Linked DNA regions of Drosophila melanogaster. The gene in region 1 interacts genetically with each later gene. Each region holds a gene or a part of one and is shown on either strand. Other genes may lie near its edges.

Region 1 (7,891 bases):
GATCACTTTTCTTGTTTTTCCTATAGTTTTGGACTGGTTTTAAAATGTTCCGAGCAGAGACTACGACTTATACACGCTTTCTACGTTATTCGAATACGAAAAGTCACTGCTCAATTTGTTGTTGCACGACCACGACGAACAGCTGGCCGACCAAAGTTGCCAGGCCGTTGTGTAGGTAGGCAGTTCAAAATTTTCAAATAAAATGTGAGCAGGTGTTTTTCTAATAATTGCTAAGATTTATACAAATAAATACATTTTATTATTTAATTAAAAATGTCACTCTGTTGTAAGTTTTGCAATTCGATCATGGCTATTTAGTAAAGCGACCTCTAAAAGCAGCTGGATTGGCAGTGCTGCCATCCCGTTTTCCTTTTCAAATTCTTAAATTGCGTGGGGTATTATTGATTTATTAATTATCTATATAAATTAATTACTTCTATGTATAAAATACATAGCGCGCCATAAGCTTAAGCCTAAACAAATACAAATTCGACAATCGGGCAACTGAAATAACATTGCAATAGCTTAATTTCGAGTGTTACAGATTAAAATATACATGTAGCTCTAGCGTGAACGAGAAGGCATATTTGAGAAGGTTTTTGGTTTCCAGTACCGGTGGGTCGATTGACTATAGAAGATTACTTCTTTTTGGCCGCACTGGGACTGGTGGACTGGAACACCGATGAGGCCGACATCAGGTTCTCGATGTACTGGCCGAGCACCTGGTTCTCGGAGCGCAGCTTCAGATTTTCCTCCTTGACGGAATCGACGCGTTGCGACAGGTCGTCCAGGGTGTTCTGCAGCTCCAGGACCTGTGTGATGAGGCGGGCCTTCTCCTCCCGATCGTCCTGGGCCATTTCCATGGCCTCCAGCGAATTGTGCGATGAATCTGGCGTGGAACTGCGGTTGGTGAACGATGAACGCAACGAGTCCATGGACCTCCCACTGGGCATTCGTCCCGTCGCCGGTGGCTCGTCGTCCGGAATGACCACTGCGTTTTTGGGGGGGATTAGCAATTGATAACATCATCACTCGGGACTCCACCCACTCCCTCCAGTTTTCACTTACCCTGTGGATCCTCGTCCATGTTGGGAATGCTGTCGTCATTGTTTAACAGGGACATGGCTGGCAGTGTTCAGGGGTACTCTTTATTCTATAAAACTTAAACTCTATTCACTTTTGCCAAATTTCTCTTAACAATTGACACGAAAATAAAACTACCCTTTGGGAAGTTGGCCAACACTAGCTGCTGGCGCTGCCGTTGTTTAGTATGAGCGGCGTTTTCCAGTACTAACAGAAGTTTAAGGAGAAGAAGAAGAAGCTGTATTTTGTAATCTTTGAAGCAATTAAATATTGATAAAGTTGCTAAGTTAATGTGCGGTTTTAAATATATACAACTATTCAGAGGACAAACTCTTTTCGTTAAAATTGTTCCGAGAAGGTAAAAAGCTCTGTTGGATATTGCGAAATTTTCCTCTGCACTTATTTTACAATATCAGGTACATGTAAAGCCATCGCTTGATATTAATTTAAGCATTTAAGGCTGCTAAGTAGCGTATTTCCAAAACAGTTAACACCAAACAAGAAAGGCTTCGTTTATTTACCATTTTATTTCCGCCTTTTCAAAATAACCGACATCGGGCGCACACGAATCGGCAACCAGAGTTGCCACCTGAGCCGTTCGATCATAGAAATTAAAATACACACATGCTTTTGCAGTTTTTAATATTGTTGAACGACAGAACGCTTCCGTTTCGATGGCACTGCGTAATGTTTCGAGCTGCTTTAGTTGGCTTACCTGGTGAAAAATGTGCTTAAATTGTTAAGATTTTCCGCCCGATTTCGCTGGCCATTCGTTTTTGCCTGCATTTACGAGGTCGAACGAGCAGTAACACCCTCGCAGCAACAAACTGCAGTTCAATCGAATCATACGGTTAAAGCAGGTAAGCCTACATATCCTGGCCCACCTTTCGACACTCGCGACCTGACTTTCTGAACTTCTATCATTCCAGCCGTGTTCGGCAAGCCAACAGCATCCCGATATCCTGGTTTCCGCCTCCTCCGCGGCTGTACATTTCATTTCGCTCCGCGGGCAAAAACGAATCGCGTGCGGGTAAGTCAACAGTTGGATCCTGGCAGCGGAACCTGTAGACTCTCTGAAAGTGAAAAATGAAGACGCATTCCATGGGCCCTAGACCAAATTCCCTGGCCAGTGGTTCATCCGAACCAAGATAAGAGGTTTCAGTTATTGTGACATTGGGTGGGCTGCTACGTAACATGGGGCTGGGAGATCGGATCGGTTTAGCCATCAAGGGCTCGTAAATGTGGTCGTGAGATGGGATTCAAAGCCCAGAGGAGCTATTTTTAGGTTCTAGTCGTTTTTGAGATAACATAAATCTTTGGGCAGCATAACTAAAAATGGTATCAAAATTCAATATACGTGCAGTGTGGCCGTACTGGGGCAACGAGGTTTTGCCCAATGGCCGCGGGTAAATTGTAAAAACAAAAAAAAAAAAAAAGCAAGCGCAATAAACAGAAATATTAAGGTAGGATAACACAGGTATTGTAACTAATGACTTTAAGCTGCTAGATATTTCCCTTTTTATTGGGACAGATGGCGATTGGCTATTAACAGCGAATATGCATACAAGTTGCAAAGCAACTGCTACCTGCTAGCTATTTTCTGATTACCATGCTTTTGCAGCTTTAAAATCCTTATATAGCATCCAAAACTAAATCCAACTTAACCTTTTTCAGGTAATAACAAACCCAAAGTAACCGTAAATATTTAAAACTAATTCGCAATCTGTGCATTTAAATACCAAATGTTGGTATATTATCAGAACCGAGAAACACGAACAATGAGAGCAAGGAAACGCGCGAAACAATAACTTTAATTCAAAAACTTAACAATTTCTGCGATTTTGATTAAGAGAAAAGTGATTGATGAATATACGGATATAAAGCACAAATCGCGCGATCGAGAACATAACAAATTGCCAAATAGTTTTGTGAAAAGGGGGAATACAAAAAAATACTAACGCCGGTGTGGAGTGTAAAATGCCAAAAACTTTTGTGCGCCTCAACGTACAAACATTGTAAAGACAAGAATATAACTTCGATTTCCGCTGGTTAAAAAAGAAATCAAAAATCCATAGCTCTAAGCATAAACGGCTCAAAATGCTGCCATTGTCGATGGCCAGTGCGGAGGCCAAGCAGCTCCAGCGCAATATATCATTGTCCATGTCGCCAGCGAATGGAGGAGTCATCTCACCATCTACCGCGAATTGCAATGGTGTTGCCTCTGCCTCCGGCGGAAATCCAAATCCCAACAGCCTCCTCACACTAGCTCCGCGCAAGGAGGAGCTACGCTTCCTGCCCCTGGCGCCCATGGGCGGCAACAAGACCTGCAACATCACCATCAGCAATGTCCAGCCAATGAAATCCAAACTAAAGTCGGTCAACATAGTGCCAAATTCCATAAAGTCCGCTGGAGCTGGCGCCACTGTCGGATCAGCAGATGCTCCCCTGTTCCAGCTGGTGCCATCGCCCAGTAATCCCAGCCAACCGTTGGTGGCCATTCTGGCCCCCAATCGCAAGACCACGCTGCTTGGCGGAGGTGCATCCAATGGCCAACCGGTGGTCATACGCTCCGGAACACCTTTGCACAAGAACAGCCTGACCGTTGAGACCAGCAACAAGCCCATCCAGCCAGGAGGATCGGCTGCAGCAGCCGCCGTTGGAGGCGGAACTGGAGGAGCACCTTTAACGCTCGTGGGCAAAACGGTCGTTCCACCGAAAATACAAGCGGGTAAGTGTAGGGTTTCGGTTTCCCCTTCTTCCGAGTTATGTAAGTTATGAGTTACAAGTGGGTTTCCCCAGTCTGAGAGGAAGAGGAAGAACAGATCCCCCAGATCCGAGGCCAGTCGGAAAATGGGAAACACTCTTGCAAAAGTGTGCGTGTGTGTGTGTGTGTGCGCGAGTGTGTGTGTGAGTGTGCGTGTGGGGTGCGGGGCAATCTTTATAGTTTACTTTCGTTGTTCACATCAGTCTGCGGGTTTAGTTTTTAGTTGTTGTTCGACGGCTGCACATTTCATAACACCAATTTAATAGGGTTTGTGTTCGTGTGCCATTTTCGGAAAATAAGTTCCAAGCATCGAATTGGGTGGGTGCCATGTTCCATGACTGGGTCGGTACGAATTGGAGAAGCAACACGAAGAACTTATTGCTATTTCCAATATATATGATGTATATATGCTGGTTTTATCAATAGCAGTATGCAAAAGGCGGGGTGCCAGCGAGAACAACAACAACAACAACAGCACCAGCAAAGCGACACTGATGATGACGATCAGGTTTTTGCAGCTGCAATAAGAGGAGAAGATTTTGGATCAGCACTGTCAGAGCGCAGTCGATCGGTGCGGTGAGGGTGCGGCGGTGCGGGGATCGGGTTCGGGTTCGGGTTCAATGGAGGATCCAATCGGATTGCCTTCGGGTGACTAATTAAAGAAAATTCAAAGCTAATTCGTGTTTCTCTATCTTTCTTTATTTCTGCTCTCCATTTGGATGCAACCGTACAGCGACACCTGTCCAGATTCCCAGCACGGGTCCGGGTGCGCAGGTATCCCTGCTGGCCAATCCCCTCAAGCCACGTGCTCCACTCATACTCAGCAAGGTGGCGGTGGATAAGCTGCGTCTAAAGTTCAGCCAGGTCAAGAGCAACCCAAATGCACTCGTTCTCGGCAAGGCCAATCATGTGAAGAAACTTCTGACATCGCCGAACCCCAGTGGAGAGGATAAGACCAGGAGCACCCAGAAAAACAACAAACAGAATACTAGTGCCAGCCAACTGAAGCCAGTTGTGGCACCCAAAACGGCTATGCCCATTGCCACGGAGGTGCCGACCGCCGATAACAACAAAATGAGCCTAATTAAGTCCAAGCCCGTGGCCATCAAGGCAGTGCCGCTGCCCAGCCAGGAAGCGCCCATTGTGCCGGCAGTGGCGCCAGTTGTTACATCTCCAGAGAAGGTCGACGTTAAGCCCACTGCAAAGCCCTCAATCAAGACAGCACCCAAACCAACTCCTAAACCTCTGGAGATGTCCGTAAATGGACCAGCCAAGGAGAAAAAGGCGCCTGCCAAGGAGCAGAAACAGAAGACAATGGACAAACCACCGGTGGTCAAGGAAATCGCTCAACATACGCCATGTGGGCCCAAGGAATTGCCCAAACTAAAGCGGTCGAAATCCTTCGTGTCCAACCATCCCGCTTCGCCTGTGGCCAACAACGAGCGACGTCACTCGGTGGCCATTATGGCCAAGGAGGTGGATGTGATCGAGCAGCCCAGTGCGGCAATCGAGACCATCACCATTGAAGACGATGATGAGAGCGAGGAAGAGCAGCAGAAGCCGGAAATTAAGAAGACGCCGAAGCAGAATCAGAAGCCGGAAAAGCAGGAGGCGCCGAAGAAGAAGCAGATCCCCATGCCCATTCTGCCCGCAGGAATAACCATTTCCACCACCAGTACGGCCAAGAAAAAGGCCGTGAGAAAGAACTCCTCCGTGACGACAATCTCTTCTAGTTCCAGCGACAGTTCGTCCTACAGCGATGTGGAGGTGGTACCGACCAAGAAAACCGAGAAGGAACTCAGTATGCTGCCTGGCATAAGCATCATCAAGGCGGAATCTCTGCCACTGAGCAGGGAGGACTTTGAACGCTCGTTGCGTTGCGATGAGCAGGTGCCCCAAACTCCGCCCAAGTCATCCTCCTCATCCTCGAGCGGCTCTCACGCATCGGAAATGTCGCCGCCGCCCAAACTCGCCGATCCGAAGCCATCAAGTCCACCTGCAAAGAATGCCAAGAAAGCCAACGACCATGATGCGAACCCATCTCCTAGCAGCAAGACCAATGACTTTAAAAAGAGCATGATGCAGAACCTGAACATGTTGAAATGGCGCGGCCAGCAGCCGGCCAACCTGCAGAACTCCACCGTCCGGTTCGAGCTGAATGAGTTCAATTTTCTGCAGATAAACGAACGCTGCCAGCCACGCCAGGGTCCAGCTGCATATTTCGAGCGGCCTTTGTATGATCGTCCGGGCCGCAGGCCCTCGGCCTGCGTCCATCCGCTGCTGTACTTGTGCCAGCGTTGCAATTTCCACGGACCCGCCGCCGACTTTCTGGCACCACGTGAGTAAAGAGAGCAGCTACCAAAGTCCCCAAACTCTATATATATTATATATTATTTTCTCCTACAGATTTCTGCTCCGTTGGCTGTGTGCGTCGATCCCAGAAGCGTCGTCTGCCGCAGAGTACGCAGAAGGAGAGCAAGATAAGCCGTACCCAACTAGAGCAAACAGCTGGAACAGCGCCAGATTTGCCACAAAAGCGGCAAACCAACTACAAACCACACAAATCTCTGTCTGCCATACAGGAACAGCTGCAGCAACGTCAAAAGGATAAGCCCAGAAAGCCATTCCGCTGGAGCGAGTACCTCAAGTCAAAGGGAAAGGATGTGGCAGCGCCCATCCACCTGTTCCTCAATCCGTTCCCCATCAGTCCCAACTGCTTCGAGATCGGCATGAAGCTAGAGGCCATCGATCCGGAGAACTGCTCGCTCTTCTGTGTCTGCAGCATTGTCGAGGTGCGCGGCTATCGGCTGAAGCTTAGCTTCGATGGCTACTCCTCCATGTACGACTTCTGGGTGAACGCCGACTCGCAGGACATCTTTCCGCCAGGCTGGTGCGATGAGACAGCACGCGTTCTGCAGGCGCCTAAGGACTACAACTCGGAGCGCTTCAGTTGGAGCCGCTATTTGGTGAAAACGGGCGGCAAGGCAGCTCCGCGGGCGCTCTTTGGTCATCTGAATATGCAGCAGCAGATGGATGTGCGCAACGGCTTCGCTGTGGGCATGCATCTCGAGGCGGAGGACCTGAACGATACGGGAAAGATTTGTGTGGCCACAGTGACGGATATTCTGGACGAGCGCATTCGAGTCCACTTCGACGGCTGGGATGACTGCTACGACCTGTGGGTACACATCACCTCACCGTACATCCATCCCTGCGGTTGGCACGAGGGACGCCAGCAGTTGATCGTTCCGCCGGACTACCAGAAGTCTGCCTTCATTTGGGATGACTACATATCAGAGGTTGGTGGAATGGCCGCCTCCAAGGAGCTGTTCACACCACGCCAGCCAATGGAGTACCAGGAACGCATGAAACTGGAGGTGGTGGACCAGCGTAATCCCTGCCTAATTCGTCCGGCCACCGTGGTGACGCGGAAGGGTTACCGGGTTCAGCTGCACCTGGACTGCTGGCCCACGGAGTACTACTTCTGGCTGGAGGACGACAGTCCCGATCTGCACCCCATCGGCTGGTGCGAGGCCACCTCGCACGAACTGGAAACCCCGCCTGGCTATCTTCAGCCCAAGTCCGTGATGCCTTGCGATGTGGAGGGATGTCGGGGATTTGGCAACGCCAAGCGCTTCAACCTCAACGTGCATGCTTTGCGGGAATGCTGTCCGTATGCGCCGGAAAATTGGCGTCAGTGGCGCTCCAAAACGGTGAAACCGCCGCGTGTGGCCCCCGAGAATATCAGACGTGGATGGGCGAAGAAAACAAAGCGTGCCTGTTCGGAGGCCAAGCAAGCCATTAAGGAGGACTCCCAACAAGAGATTGTCTACCCGAAGGTCGCGGAAGTGGTGCAAGCCAAGCGAAAGACGTCTCCTTGTGAGGAGAAGGTTGTGAAAAAGCAGAAACAGATGCAGAAGGAGGAGGATGCGGAGCAGGTGCCGGATGAACGCTCCCTGGCCATAGCCAGGTCCTTTGTGAAGGACTATGGACCACAGTTCCTGCCAAACTATCGCCTCTGGCAGCTCAACAGCGCCTTCAAAT
Region 2 (5,146 bases), about 18 Mb from region 1:
TGTTGGTGTTGCTGCTGCGGCGAGGGCGTCGATATGGCAATTGTGGGCGCGGTTAGGAGCTCAATTTTGGAGGCTTTTCCTAGCTATCGCAGCTGACAATTTTGCGCGTATTGCCAACTTGAATTGTATTTTAACTTGCAGCACAAAGAACCACACGCGCGTTTTGCAACACTATTCGCTCGGAAATATTCACAAATGTTACATATAATTTTTTTTTAATTTTCGCTTCAGATTTACACTTGTTTTTTGCTTTTATTTATTTTGTTGTAAAAGAAACCACACTTTTTGCTTAATATATTTAATATTTATTTTACAGGCTTTGCTGAGATTTTTCACACACTTTTTGATCAAAAAAATTGAATTTGCTTCGTTTGGTTTGGTTGTCGTGGTTGGTTTGTTTTTTTTTTTTTTTTTACATAAATTTACACAAAATTATGAATAATATTTTACACAGTTGCACAGCTGTTGTTTTTGGGACTTAACAAAACTGAACTTTATTTATTTAATTACGTATGAGAATTGGTTAAAACTTGAATTTTTACAGATTTCTTGTTGAGAATTGTGGAATTTCCGTTTATTAATGTAGTTTATTAATTATAATTAGGATGAATTTTAATTTACACGACGTTTTAATGATGAAAATATACACAAACTGCAATGAGAAATTAAAGTGTAAACTGTGATTAGTAAACGCAGTAGTTTTTGGAAATAAATTGTTGAGAAATTATCGATTTCGAATCAAATAACTTTTTATATGATGCTAGTTTTTATTCCCAATTCAATACGACACTCGAACCACTGTACTTTTGTGCGATTAAAAACTTTGAGCTGGTCATGGTAAAGAAAAGATTCCGATAACACAGACAGCAGACAGGGCACATAATAATAATCAACAAAATAAAACGCACAAGGCACGCGTAAAAGCAAAACAATTTCTTCTAAAACTGAAAGACGACTAAGGCAAATATTAGCCATGATTTCCCCATTACGAAAACAATAACAAAGTAGATGCCGATAAGTGGTGAATTGCGGGGGGGGGGGGGGAGTGTGTGCGTTGCGTTTACGTTTGAGGAACAGGAGCCCCAAGAACAAGTCGCAGAAGCAGACTATCCATAGAAGAACAACGCAGCGCTGAATCATGCTCGAAAAATACGGAAAATATAATTTGGTTTCTTTGAAGACCGATTGGATTAATACTCTTAATAAATTACGATGCAGGCTAGTTTTATCAGTGACTATCAATACATAACTTTTCAGACTTTATCTATTCGTAAGTGCTTAGCAACCGTAACAAAAAGTTGGCACACGATAACAATGGCGTTTATGTTGCAGTTCCAAAAAGGTTTTAACGAAATTTTATAAATCACCATTAGGACCATTGCATTTCAACATTATGAAAATGATCTTTAGATCTGATTATTCAAATCCTGTTTTACTCTTTTAACATGAAATTCTATAATAGTTTGGGATTATAATAATATCCATTGTACAAAATATGGAATCCAATGAAAACAGAAACAAAATCCCTTTTTAAAATCTGGTTACATTGTAGATCGGCTTGTTTAACATCTAAGAATTTATACATATCTGGAAAACTTGTGAACAGAATTATTGTTATAGCGCCTCCCGCGGAAAGCACACGGAAAGACGTATAGCGGCTTGTTTAACATCTAAGAATTTATACATATCTGGAAAACTTGTGAACAGAATTATTGTTATAGCGCCTCCCGCGGAAAGCACACGGAAAGACGTATAGCGGGGGGTGGTGGGGCGGTCGAAAATGGAAAACATATAAAATTAACATACACACAGAGGAGCAAGAACAACAACAAGAACGATGCCGGCAGACGATGAGCGAATGCGACAGAACGAATGGCGAAGAAAACGAAACGAAGACGAAGGCGAAAGGCGGCCGCAAACATTTGAGGTTACGTTTTCAGCGAAAAGAATGCGAGTGGGTCGGTCTTTTATTTTATTATTTTTTTTTTTGTTTTTGGGTTGTTTACGAGAATTATATCTCCATTTCTCCCTTTCGGTCCTTTCGTGCCTCCCAAGAAGCCCCCCAAAAAAGGAGAGACAAGTGCAGCATGCGAAAAGGAAGAGAGAGAACGCGAATGCTGTGCCCCTGGAAGCTCGCACACACCCACACTTCTAGGGGAGGGGGGTATATATAAAAACAAACATAAAGATAAACCATAAAAGAGATGGCGGACAAAACAAAGGAGGTGCGGCCAATAAGTAATTAGGAATTAAAACCATTTGAATTGTTTAATATTTTAGTTGGTAGTTAGGCGTTCTTATTGGGAAAAGCACATATATACAATTGCAAGGCGTCCCGAGAGAGAGAAAGAGCGAGAGAGCACACACACACACGTAAGAGGGAGCTGAATGGTTTGGCGGGGGGACGCGGGGAGAAGGAAGAAGCAGAGCAGCCAAATGGCCACCGCTCAAAAGGAAGAACACGATGGTATAAGGAAATAATGAAACACACACATTCGCACACATACGCACAATCGGAAAAATTTGTTCACCAACCAAACAAAAAGAAAGGAATCATATAAATTATTCAGGCACACACTTAATTGATTTTTACCTTTTTCGGGCAAAATACGAATTAATTTCGCAAACTATTTATACATGTTTGCATATGTACAAAAAGCGGTCTGGAAATGCACACATACACTCATGCCGCCGAAATGGAAAAGGAAACCCGATGATGACAATGTAAAACGAAACAGGAGTACTTTACGGTTTTTAGCTGTTTTTTTTTGTTCATTTCCTTTTTTGAAACACTTACACATGCACTTAAAAAAGCCTTCTCGTTTGCATTTCCATTGATTTGATGGTGTGTGTGCTTTCGTTAAATACGAAATTTAGATTATTTAAATTACAATTATTTACACAGGATGATGAAGAAGAAATCGGCCAGGAATTTCTTCAACGTCGCCGCCGTCCGTCGCAGAACGATAATAAAAGCGAAATGCAAAGACACACTGGCCAAATACAACTACAACAAAGAGCTAGAGAGAGAGGAGAGAACAAGAACCCCCCAAAATGAGAGCAGTGTTGGCAAACGTGCGAAATCAACAGAGAGAACGAGTGAGCATGCCCACAGAGTGCGAGAGAGAGCAAGAGCGGGGGTGCGAGCGCAAAAGACCGACAATTTATTTTACTTTTATTAACATGCGCGCAAAATATTTATATAAATTGATTACACATTTTCTTGTTCTTTTATCATCACCCCCTTTTTTATATTCACCCTGGCAAATGAATTACGCTGCCCCAGCCAAATTGTTTATATATTATTTATCAATCGATTTTAGGGGCATGCCAAATTTGATCAGACGCCAGTCGCACACAAACACACACTTGAGCACACACATTCACAGACCAACACTCGCGCATACATACACACGCACCAGGGTGTTTGTTTTGTTTTTGTTTGCGGCTTTTTTTTTTATCAATTTGTGATCTTTTTTCGCAGCCGCAAATTTGATTGTGATTTACCGCCGATTGGAAATGTAAACAATGCTGTCGAACTATCAGCATAAGGCTGGCAGTTTTAAAATACTTTTCATATTTTATAGCTGTTGGGTACTCACACCTTAGCTTATTTGAAAAATTTACATATTACAAGCACGCCGTTCTAGGTCTGCTTCTTCTTACGCGCGAACATTTAGTGTGACCGCAGCTCGACCGTTCAAATATACCATTGCGAAGCGCACTGAGAAACACTCTCCAATAGTTCTAAGATACCAAAAATTTAGCATACTACTATATGTAAGTTATAATTTCATTTACTATCCCATTAGAGAAATTAATTGATTTTTATGTTCTATAATGCATTTAACTAGTTGCCCTAGTTTTAATGTTGTTAAAATAGCATTACAACAATTACCGTTTATAACTTCACTTTCTTCAGAGTGACCATATAATGTAAAGTACAGTGAACACTGTATATAAAGAATCAATACAACCATGGATTTACATATTTTTCCATCTGGTTTATATCAATAGATAATATATGTTAAATGATATATATAAAAACTAAATTACACAAAATTTTTTTAGGTATAGTAGGTTTATTTAAACTTGTATACGATTGAAATTTCTGCAATCAAATCAAATTTGTTGTTACAATAAAGTTCAGTTCTACTTCGGAACTTGAAATCTTCCCCAAATATGTTATTTATGTGTTATTTATTTGGTAATTTCAATCCAAGTTGAAATCGTTTTCCGAGCTATGTGTCGTCATTACAGTGCAGTGCAGTTGTAAACGGTTTGTCCGATTTCTCAGCAATAAATCGGAATATATATGTAGACAAAGTGTGTTGTTTTAGGAGGGGAAGGTTCTCTAAAGTCCAAGTAGGTCCTATCCATTTTTGTGTTTTCTTCTCTTACTTGCAGATTTTTTTTCGTTTTTTTTTTTTTGCTTTTACAACATTCTTTTTTTTTTGTGTTGATTTTTGGGGAGGGGTGTGTGGAAATGTTTATAAATTGTATGTTTTAGGCAGCTACCGATTCGGAATCGTTGTAGTTATCCGAAACATAACCGTCGTTGGCATCATTTTCGCCATCGGAGTTCCATTTGAGGCCATCTCCTTTGGTTGGTGTCCCATCCACGGCACGGTCCTCGTCGTTCGACTCCTTCTTGGAGTTGTGTTGGCCCTGATCGGCGGAATCAGCATCATCTGCATCGTCATCAATATTTTTCGCTGGGCGACTACGGGGCTTTGTTGTTTCCTCTTTGGACACCTTGCCAGCGGCAAGAGAGGGACGTCCACGTTTCTTCGGCGCCACTACCGTCTTCTCAGGCGAGCTGTGTTCCTCCTCCCCGGAGTTCTCATCGTCCTGATCGTCGTCATTGTCCTCGTGCTTCTCGACGGGTGCAGCATTGGCCTTTGGACGACCGCGCGGACGACCGGTGGGTACGTAGCCAGTACTGCCACCGCTACCCGACTTGTTCTGTGGTGGACGACCGCGTTTCTTGGGCACTTGTGGCTCCCCATCGCCATTGGACTCGACAGCCCGCTTCTTGGGTCTTCCCAGGCCGCGTCCCGTGCGCGATATGTTCAGGTTGACGGATCCAGCCGACGGTCGGCCCACTGGGCGACGTTCTTCGATGCTGCTGTTGCCGTCGTCGTCC

What was found.
Region 2: of l(3)mbt (region 1) and pum, changing one suppresses a phenotype caused by changing the other (phenotypic suppression), as found in Drosophila melanogaster (one study listed by BioGRID).

What each region holds. Positions count from the first base shown.
Region 1 is NT_033777.3:27,267,063-27,274,953, reverse strand, and holds the start of l(3)mbt (lethal (3) malignant brain tumor), read left to right. Parts: upstream 1-1,680; 5' UTR 1,681-1,943; intron 1,944-2,012; 5' UTR 2,013-2,113; intron 2,114-2,757; 5' UTR 2,758-3,180; coding exon 3,181-3,811; intron 3,812-4,580; coding exon 4,581-6,185; intron 6,186-6,253; coding exon 6,254-7,891. Other genes in the region: CG5934 (uncharacterized protein), read right to left, coding at 639-991, 1,069-1,123.
Region 2 is NT_033777.3:9,234,013-9,239,158, forward strand, and holds the start of pum (pumilio), read right to left. Parts: upstream 3,014-5,146; 5' UTR 2,798-3,013; intron 653-2,797; 5' UTR 1-652. Other genes in the region: D1 chromosomal protein, read right to left, coding at 4,507-5,146. UniProt on the Drosophila melanogaster protein: Sequence-specific RNA-binding protein that acts as a post-transcriptional repressor by binding the 3'-UTR of mRNA targets.